Drosophila melanogaster: one gene and its partner. The protein of the gene in region 1 interacts with the protein of each later gene in a pairwise test. Each region holds a gene or a part of one and is shown in the gene's direction. Other genes may lie near its edges.

Region 1 (3,463 bases):
CGAGGATCCATTTGGCAATGTCATTGCCAAGAACTTTGCCATCTTTTATACCGAAGTTGCCAAGCCGGAGAAACTGGCCAGGGAGTTCAAGGAGATCACCGTTGTGGCCTTGGAGCTCAGCTATTCCGCCTCCGAATTGGGTTGCCACAAGAATCGCTATGCGGACATATTTCCTTGTGAGTAACTTCAATGTAGCAATAACCATTATGGGAAACCACATTTTTTCCCATTTAATAGATGACAAGAATCGCGTGATTCTGGACATCGATGCGGAGGGATCGGACTACATCAATGCCTCCTTCATAGATGTAAGTAGTTGTTATAGCTAATCCTTAAGGAAGATCATCTTAAGTGCATCCACTTCACAGGGTCACACGCGTAAGAAGGAGTACATAGCCACCCAGGGACCAAAACCAGAGAGTGTGATGGACTTTTGGCGCATGATCCTGCAGTACAACGTGCGGGTTATTGTTCAAGTTACCCAGTTTCGCGAGGGCAATACGGTAGGTACATGATTAGGTCCTTGAGATGGAAGCTAAGCCTTCTTTGTCTTGTCAACAGATCAAGTGTCACGAGTACTATCCGTATAATGTGCGTGGATTGACTGTGACTATCAAGTCCAAGGAGGTTCTGGAGCTGTACGATCGAACTGAGTTGACTGTTGTGCACGACAAGTACGGACTGAAGGAGAAGGTGATCCACTACTATTTCAAAAAGTGGCCCGATCACGGCGTGCCCGAGGATCCCATGCATTTGATTATGTTTGTGAAGAAGGTGAAGGCGGAGAAGCGACCCAGTTACTCGCCCATTGTCGTCCATTGCAGTGCGGGAGTGGGCAGGACGGGCACGTTTATTGGCCTGGATCTGATCATGCAGCGATTGAAGAGCGAGTCGAAAATCAACATTTTCGAAACGGTCAAAAAGCTGCGATTCCAGGTGGGTTTTTTTTTCAGTGCCATTGTGGATTTATCTCATTACTTCTCCACTACTTCAGCGCATGAAAATGGTGCAAACGCAGCAGCAGTACACATTCCTCTACGCCTGCACCTATGAGCTGGTCAAGCATAAGATACCCAGAGCTGCGTTGAAAATGGATGGGCGTCCCAAGTCCGTGACCGTGCCCGCCATTCCCTCTCCCAAAAAGGTGAGCTTTCCGGACGTGGATGTGGGCAGTGAGTATGTGTCATCCGCACCGATCACCGATTTGGATGACGGTAGGCCCATCGTGCAGCTGCCTTCTAGGTTCTCCGGACTGCGGAGGAATAGTCCACCGGGCGAAAACGATAACCCAACTAGCAGCAGCAATATGTGAGATGAGCTGTGTTCTTGTAACTTTTGTATTAACGATGTGTTGACAACGCAGCAGCAATAATAGCCAAAGAAATATGTATCTAAATTGTATATTAAGTGGAAAGTGTGGATATAAATTTGGTAATTGCATTTGAAAAACTGTTTTTGTACATAAATGTTATTTATAAAGAAGCGCATGTATAGCAGAAAACTATAAGTTATTGAACTTATTTATTAAATTGGGCAATGAGCAAAGAATTTACAAAAAGAGGTATCGTGTATAACAGTTTATAAGAGTTTTTATTAAATTCAAATTTGGCGGTAAATGCAATTACAAAAAAAGGTAGGAGCGAGACAACTATATTTTCACAACGGCGGATTACGCCTTTGAGCACTGTTTACTGCACACATTTTACAGCACTGTTAGGCAGATAAATAAATTGTATTTATTTTAGTAAGAAATAAATCGTAGTCTTCAAAATGTCCGAGCGAAAGGTCTTAAACGTAAGTAAATACATCTTAAGCTAATAGATCGCCACCTGACCGACTCCTCTGCAGAAATACTATCCCCCGGACTTCGATCCATCGAAGATTCCGCGCATGAAACTGGCCAAAAACCGGCAGTACACCGTGAGATTGATGGCTCCATTTAATATGCGCTGCAAAACGTGTGGGGAATACATATACAAGGGCAAGAAATTCAACGCTCGCAAGGAGGACGTGGAGAACGAAACGTACCTGGGCATCAGGATCTATCGGTTCTACATCAAGTGCACGCGCTGCCTGCAGGAGATCTCCTTCAAGACAGATCCACAGAACACGGACTACGAGATTGAGGCGGGGGCCACCAGGAATTTCATGGCACTCAAGTTGGCCGAGGAACAGGCACGTCGCGAGGAGCAGGAATTGCGCGATGAGGAGGCCAACAATCCGATGAAGCTGCTCGAGAATCGCACCCAACAGTCGCGCAACGAGATCGAAACGATCGAGAGCCTGGAGGAGTTGCGTGATCTCAACCGGCGTCAGCAGACAGTGGACTACAACACTCTGCTGCAGCAGTACAACACGGTGGAGACGGAGAGAGAGCGCCAGGAGCGGGAGGAGCGCGAAGACGAGGATTTTATTAAGTGAGTTCTCTACTAGGTATTCTATTTGGTCGGTGTATTTAACACATTACATTTCCTTAGGTCCGTAAACTTTAAGAACAAGCCAGAAGGAAGCTCTCGTGTTGTCGCTGAGGAAATCATTGAGGAGATCAAGGATGAACCGTTGGACACACCGTCAGCTCCTCCACCAGCCAAACAGGCCAAGCCCAGCACGATCAGTCTTTCCGCCACATCCTCCAGCAAAGCATCCGCAGCGCAGTCAATGGTTAAAAGGAAGACACCATTGGTGCTGGTCAAGCCCAAGGCAACCGCAGTAGCAAAGCCCACGGTAGCCACTGGAACGACGCAAGTTGAATCCAAACCAGCCGCAACCACGCCCTCAGTTGTGTCTGCACCAGCGGAAACTAAAGCTACAAATCAGCCAGCTGCCGCTCCAGCTGGACTTTCCCTCTTGGCTGCCTACAGTGACAGCTCAGAGGATTCCAACTGACCAAGCATTTACCTGATGACACACTTACAACTCGAAGACAGATTAAAGCAAGTTCAAATAATAAAAGCAGTCGATGGTTTTATTTTACTAAACTTGAAATATGCCGCAATCCACCAAGATCCCCATTGACTGAAAATTCCGATAAAGTATTGGAATAATGCATCATTTTATTAAATATTTTGACTTTGTTTCATTTTGTATTCTTTCAAATTTTTTTCAAGGCCAAACTTAAGGCAAACTCATTTCAAATTCAAACAGAAAATTAATCAAAGCAAAAGGTAACTGCAAAGTATTCTTCTAAGGTACACTCCCACTCATTTGGAGCTGTCATAGCCGATTTACTGGCAACCATTTGATAAACGAGTGTGTTTCCACGCACGAAACTGATATCGACTACAATTAAAGTCTAAGTGATATATATACAGTGGTGAATGTATTACGTCTAAAACTCGGGCAATCAAAATAATAAATAATATCACAAGCGAAAGAAAATTATAAATATACATATACGATAATTAAATATTATGCATTACAAGTTAATGATAATCGATTCTAACGATTAATTTCATAAATTACG
Region 2 (5,908 bases), on another chromosome or scaffold:
TGAAATCCTAAGATCAGAAATGGAAAAATGGATTCAATGGCAGGTGCACACAAAATTGTTACAAATCAAACAAAGACTGATGTTCAACTCCGTTCAAAAACCATAGAAAGCATTCATCAACAGCGGATTCCAATTTCCCAGAAGTATCCAACACTTTCGTCATTTATATAACAAACAAAAAATGGAATCGAAAAAAATCGTCGCGTTTCGGGTTCTAACGGTTTCGCGTTCGCGTATTTTCGTCGCTCGTTCGTAATCGTAATCGTCGTTCGTGGTATCTCGTCGGGTAAAACAAAAGAAAAAGGAAAAAAGGATATAATACAAGGATAACGATAATATTGCAACTGTTACTGATACAAATTTACTGATACACTTAATGATATTCATATGCTATACAAAATTAGGTGTTTTTTTACGCATTGTGAAAGCGAAAAGCAAGCAAATAGGGAAACATTGTAAAATTGAGATTAGGATTTTGTTGAATATCTTATTTATTTTCCATTAACTGAATACAAAAGCAACCATTGACTGATCACTTTTTAAAGTATTATTATATAATTTTTTTTTGTATAGGGACAAGTGTAATTAATGAACTATTATTATTTTCTTCGAACTTTTATATCATTTGTATAGACTCGTGTTTTGCGTAACCTCTATAATTTACGATCTTTGTACAGAACAAATTTTTTACAATTATATGATTAGGTGTAAAGTGTACTACTAAATGAAAACAAAAGTCTTTGAAATTGTCGCGGAACAACTAAAACATACGAAAAATAAAACTAGGGAAAACCAAACTCAGTCAAATACAAAATAAATGGATGATTATGAAGCGTAAGAAGAGTAAGTAAATCTAAGTAATAGTATTACGTAATTATGCAAACCGTGTTTACGTTTGTGTTTTTATTTCGTTTCGAAAATGGGGGAACGTGTGATAATAAAGTAACTTCGGGTCGTTCGTTCGCGTCGCGTTAAACTCAATCAATTTAAAAACTAACAATAAGGGACTTTCGCCCCCGAGTCCCAAATAATAATCGCAATACTTGATAACTTGATAATAATACGGTCTAACTAAAGCGGAAGCATAGCAATTGCTAAAACTGAAACTAAACTAAAATGAAAAATCGTGATTTCGTTGTACCTTAATCCGGATTCATCGCGGAATCCGGTCGCGTTCGCGTGCGTTTGTATCTCTCTCGGGTGATCTTAGTGATTAGCGTTTAAGCAGAAAAAAAAAATGAAAACAAAAAAACTGAATCAACACTACTACAACTACACATAAACATACAACATTAAACATGTACACACCACACATATACAGCAATATGAAATATATTTATAGATTTTATGCAGAGTAGGTTTTTGTTTAAAATATTATTTTTCATTACGATAGGGCAAACCAAAAAAAAAAGTAGGGAACATCAAATAAACTAAATGTTAGGTCAAGCTAGGGCAAGAAACAAATTAAAACAGCAAATCAAAAGTTATTTGTGCAGCATTAGAGAATTTTTTTCTTATTTCTTTCAATATTATCGTGTGTATGCTATTAAATCGATGAAGAGAACATACCAACTGTTTTTAGTACTTTACACAATTATGATATTTAACTTCCGTTGTTTTTTTTAAGTAAATCAAGACCAAGCCTAGTAAATATTGTTTTACCATCTATATCTTCATAAACAGCACGTAAAACTTTTCGTTCATCGAACATTCAACTCTGATAGGTTTATATCTCTAATCGTTTAAGCTTACAACCACTGTCTAGGCTAAATCAAATGTTCTGCAAATGTCTAACGAAATTGAATATATATACGGGCCTATATGCATAAATAACATACGCATATATATGAAATACATGCATGTATGTATAATCCCTACATCAAACTATATGGATTACAGATTATTCTTCTGGAGTTTATATATTTGTTTGGCTAAAAACTCCATTTCAAAATTCAACTATCAAGATTTGTGTAAATTGAAAAGTATATATATGAATAAATATGTATGTATAACAAACATTACCCATCAAGATAATGGATTTTCTGATTTGTATGGGATATGAGTAGGCCGAGAACAGAGTGTCATTCTCTGTCACTTCGGTAGCCCCCTTTGGCAGACCTTACCCCACATTTATCATACAAAACCCGGCTAACTTTTGCATCAGCAGCAAAATGGCATGGACACCACGGGATGAAGGTCTGCAGCAGCTCCTACCGATACTCAAGGACTCACAGTCTCCCGGTAAAGCCACGCAGCTAGCCGTGCAAGAGGTAAGTACCGAAGACCCAACTGATTTAGCAATCCTCATCGGGTGCTTCCCGGACTTCAACAACTATCTCGTCTATGTGCTCACGAATCTGAAGACGGAAAACGAGGCAACGCGCTCCATGAGCGGCCTAATCCTCAAGAACAACATTCGCATGCACGACATCACTCTGCAGCCGGAACACCTGGAGTATATCAAACACCAGTGCCTGCAGGCAGTGGGCGACTCTTCACCCGAGATCCGTGGCACCGTGGGCATTCTGATTACCACCATTGCCAGCAATATCGGTCTGCACAACTGGCCGCAGCTGCTTCCATCTCTCTGCGAAATGCTCGACAACCAGGACTACAATGTGTGCGAAGGAGCATTCAGTGCTCTGCAGAAAATTTGCGAGGACTCTGCCGGAATTTTGGAAAATATGCCATTAAATACAATGATTCCAAAGTTCCTGGAGTACTTTAAGCACAGCAGTCCAAAGATCCGCTCCCACGCCATTGCCTGCATCAACCAGTTCATCATCAACAGATCACAGGCCCTGATGCTAAACATAGACAGCCTCATTCAGAACCTCTTAGACGTGCCCTCGGATAATGACCCAGCGGTTCGCATGAACGTCTGCCACGCATTGGTTGGTCTGGTGGGGGTGCGCATAGACCTTATGATGCCGCACATGTCGCAGATTATTGAGGTATGAAGTTAAGGTTTAGTTTTAAATTTTAACGTAATGAAAAATCTCTGTAGCTCATTTTGTTGCGCTCCCAGGACGCCGATGAGAACGTGGCTCTGCAGGCCACCGAATTTTGGCTTTCATTGGGAAAGCAGAGAAACTGCAGGGATATACTTTCTCCCATTCTATCCCAGTTAGTCCCAGTTCTTGTAAGCCGAACGCAATACACGGAGACGGACATTATTCTTCTGAAGGGCGATGTAGGTGAAGATGACAAGGAGCCTGATAGACAGCAGGATATCAGTCCACGTTTCCACATGTCCCGCGTACACGGTATAAGTAATGAATTGGATGAAAACTCGGACGACGATATGTGGGATTCGGCATTGAACTTGCGCAAGTGCAGCGCTTGTGCTCTCGACATTATTTCGAAAATTTTCGGCGATGTCTGTCTGCCCCTTATGCTGCCCATCCTAAAGGAGGCGCTATTCCACCAGGAATGGGTGATCAAAGAAAGTGGTGTGATGGCCTTGGGAGCTATTGCGGAGGGCTGCATGCAGGGCTTGATCCCACACTTACCAGAGCTGATTCCCTACCTAATTACCTGTCTGTCTGACAAGAAGCCACTCGTACGCTCCATTACATGCTGGACGTTCATGCGATTCCCCAAATGGGTGCTCAACCAGCCGCACGACAAGTACTTGGAGCCTCTAATCGAGGAACTGCTGAAGTGCATCCTGGACTCCAATAAGCGCGTTCAGGAAGCTGCGTGCTCTGCCTTTGTCGCTCTGGAGGAGGAGGCCTGCACGCAACTGGTGCCCTACCTGGAGAATATGCTAAAGACGTTCGTCTTAGCCTTCTCCAAGTACCACCAAAGGAATCTACTGATAATGTACGATGTCGTTGGTCTTTTAGCGGAGTCCGTCGGTCATCATCTGAATAAACCGCAATATATTGACATCCTAATGCCTCCGCTAATGGATAAGTGGAACCTGGTAAAGGACGACGACAAAGATATAATCTATTTGTTGGAGTGCCTATCGAGCATCGCCACTGCGTTGCAGTCCTCCTTTCTGCCCTACTGCGACTCGGTGTATCGAAAGGGCATCTCCATTATTGAGGAGACTATCAACCAGGACATGGTAAGCAACTGTGTTAGCTTCAATGTAAATCTATCAATGAACTCGACTCCTTTCAAGATGTGTAAACAAAGCCAATCAACCGATTATCCTGACAAGGAGCGCATGGTTATCGCCCTGGATCTGGTGTCTGGCTTGATCGAGGGGCTGCAGAGCCTCATAGAGCCACTGGTGGCCAACAGCAAACTTTTGCAGCTGCTCTGCCAATGCATGGGCGACGTTATGCCCGAAGTAAGTTTTACCTAATTAATATACTCGTGTATATGGGATTAAAATACATATTAGGTTCGCCAATCATCGTTTGCCCTGCTGGGTGATTTGAGCGGGGCTTGTTTTTCCCAGGTATACCCCTACACGGCCCACTTTATTTTGATCTTGGTGCAAAACCTAAACCCCAGCGTTGTTGGTGTGTGCAACAATGCAGTTTGGGCCATAGGGCAAATCTGCGTTAAGTTGGGTAAGTTGGCTTGGTTCTCTTATAATGTAACAAAAAAGATTTTTTGTATTTCGCCCCTAAGGTGAGGAAACCAAGCCGTACGTACGCCTTCTGCTTAGCGAACTAATGATCCTGATGAACCGGCAGGACATTCCAAAAAATCTTTCGAGGAATGCGGGTAAGTAATTTGGCCTGATTTAAAGTAATTTATTATTATTATTCTTTTTTTTAAGCAATAACACTTGGGCGCCTCGGAAATGCATGTCCAGATGAAGTGGCTCCCTATTTGCCCGAATTCCTACGCCAGTGGTATGTACACATTAAATGCTTCATTTGCTCATTTTTTAAATTATCCTTTCTTCCACGAAATGAAGGTGCTTGTTATTGCGTTACGCATATGACCACGACGAGAAGTATTTGTCTTTTATGGGAATGTGCCATATGATCAGGGAGAATCCAGGAGGCGTGGTGCCCGACTTCTTATTCTTTTGCGATGCCATTGCCTCGTGGGACAATCCTCCACAGGATCTGCGTCAGATGATTCGAAGAGTAAGTTATTTCCGGAAATTATTAATTTTCGTCTTTCAACAATACTCGTTTGTTATTCTAGATTATCGAAGGCTTTAAGAACCAAACGGGTGCGGAGAATTGGCTAATTTTTTTGGGGAAATTTCCACAACCACTGGCCTGCCGGCTAATCGAACTGTACGACATCGAATACTAATCCGAAGCTATCCAGCCAATTATGTATTGCTTCAATCATCATTCTAATTTTACTAAGTAACCAAAGCCCCAAAAAAAGTCAGCTATTGAGTAATATACGATTTTATATAATCATTTATAATATGAATAATTCAACAAAACCTGAAATATTTTTGTAAATAAAGTCTCAATAATTGTAAAAATGTATGTTACACCATTTAAAACTTATGACATAAAAAAACAAAAGTTTTAGTTTCATTAAAATGTTTATTTTATTGGTTTATTGGAATTACAAAAATGCAAGATTCTCTTAAGGAGTTTTAAAAAGGATATATAAATGTAAATGGCTTTAATAGAATTGGCACGCAGTTTGGCTTATAGTACTAGGAATATATACGACTGGCATCTTTGCTAAGGATCTATTACTTTGAAGACCTTATGACTTTTTTATGACCCGTCGATTTTGTTCGTTTGAAATTTGATCGTTCGTTGTCCTTTGATTAGCAGTTGTCGGCAAAAGAAGATTCTTCCTGGCAGTTTTTCGTAGTCGTTGTCCAAATAAATCATAGGTCCTTAAGTCGTTCCGAAGTTCTTTATTAGTTGAGGGGACAATAGCCCTGCCAAATATCGCCAACGACCATGTTCGGCGTGATGTTGATCATCCTTTGGTTAACCTCCACCTTGCTGATGCAGCCCTT

The links.
Region 2: the proteins of CG8435 (region 1) and CG8219 interact in a two-hybrid assay, tested with the Drosophila melanogaster proteins (one large-scale study listed by BioGRID).

Annotation. Positions count from the first base shown.
Region 1 is NT_033778.4:16,169,091-16,172,553, reverse strand, and holds CG8435 (uncharacterized protein), read left to right. Parts: upstream 1-1,692; 5' UTR 1,693-1,770; coding exon 1,771-1,794; intron 1,795-1,848; coding exon 1,849-2,417; intron 2,418-2,477; coding exon 2,478-2,886; 3' UTR 2,887-2,954; downstream 2,955-3,463. Other genes in the region: Ptp52F (protein tyrosine phosphatase 52F), read left to right, coding at 1-176, 238-308, 369-503, 562-936, 995-1,312.
Region 2 is NT_037436.4:6,198,369-6,204,276, forward strand, and holds CG8219 (uncharacterized protein), read left to right. Parts: upstream 1-2,104; 5' UTR 2,105-2,171; coding exon 2,172-2,270; intron 2,271-2,363; coding exon 2,364-2,954; intron 2,955-3,007; coding exon 3,008-4,075; intron 4,076-4,132; coding exon 4,133-4,303; intron 4,304-4,357; coding exon 4,358-4,529; intron 4,530-4,590; coding exon 4,591-4,686; intron 4,687-4,741; coding exon 4,742-4,817; intron 4,818-4,882; coding exon 4,883-5,057; intron 5,058-5,118; coding exon 5,119-5,232; 3' UTR 5,233-5,408; downstream 5,409-5,908. Other genes in the region: LanA (laminin A), read right to left, coding at 5,807-5,908.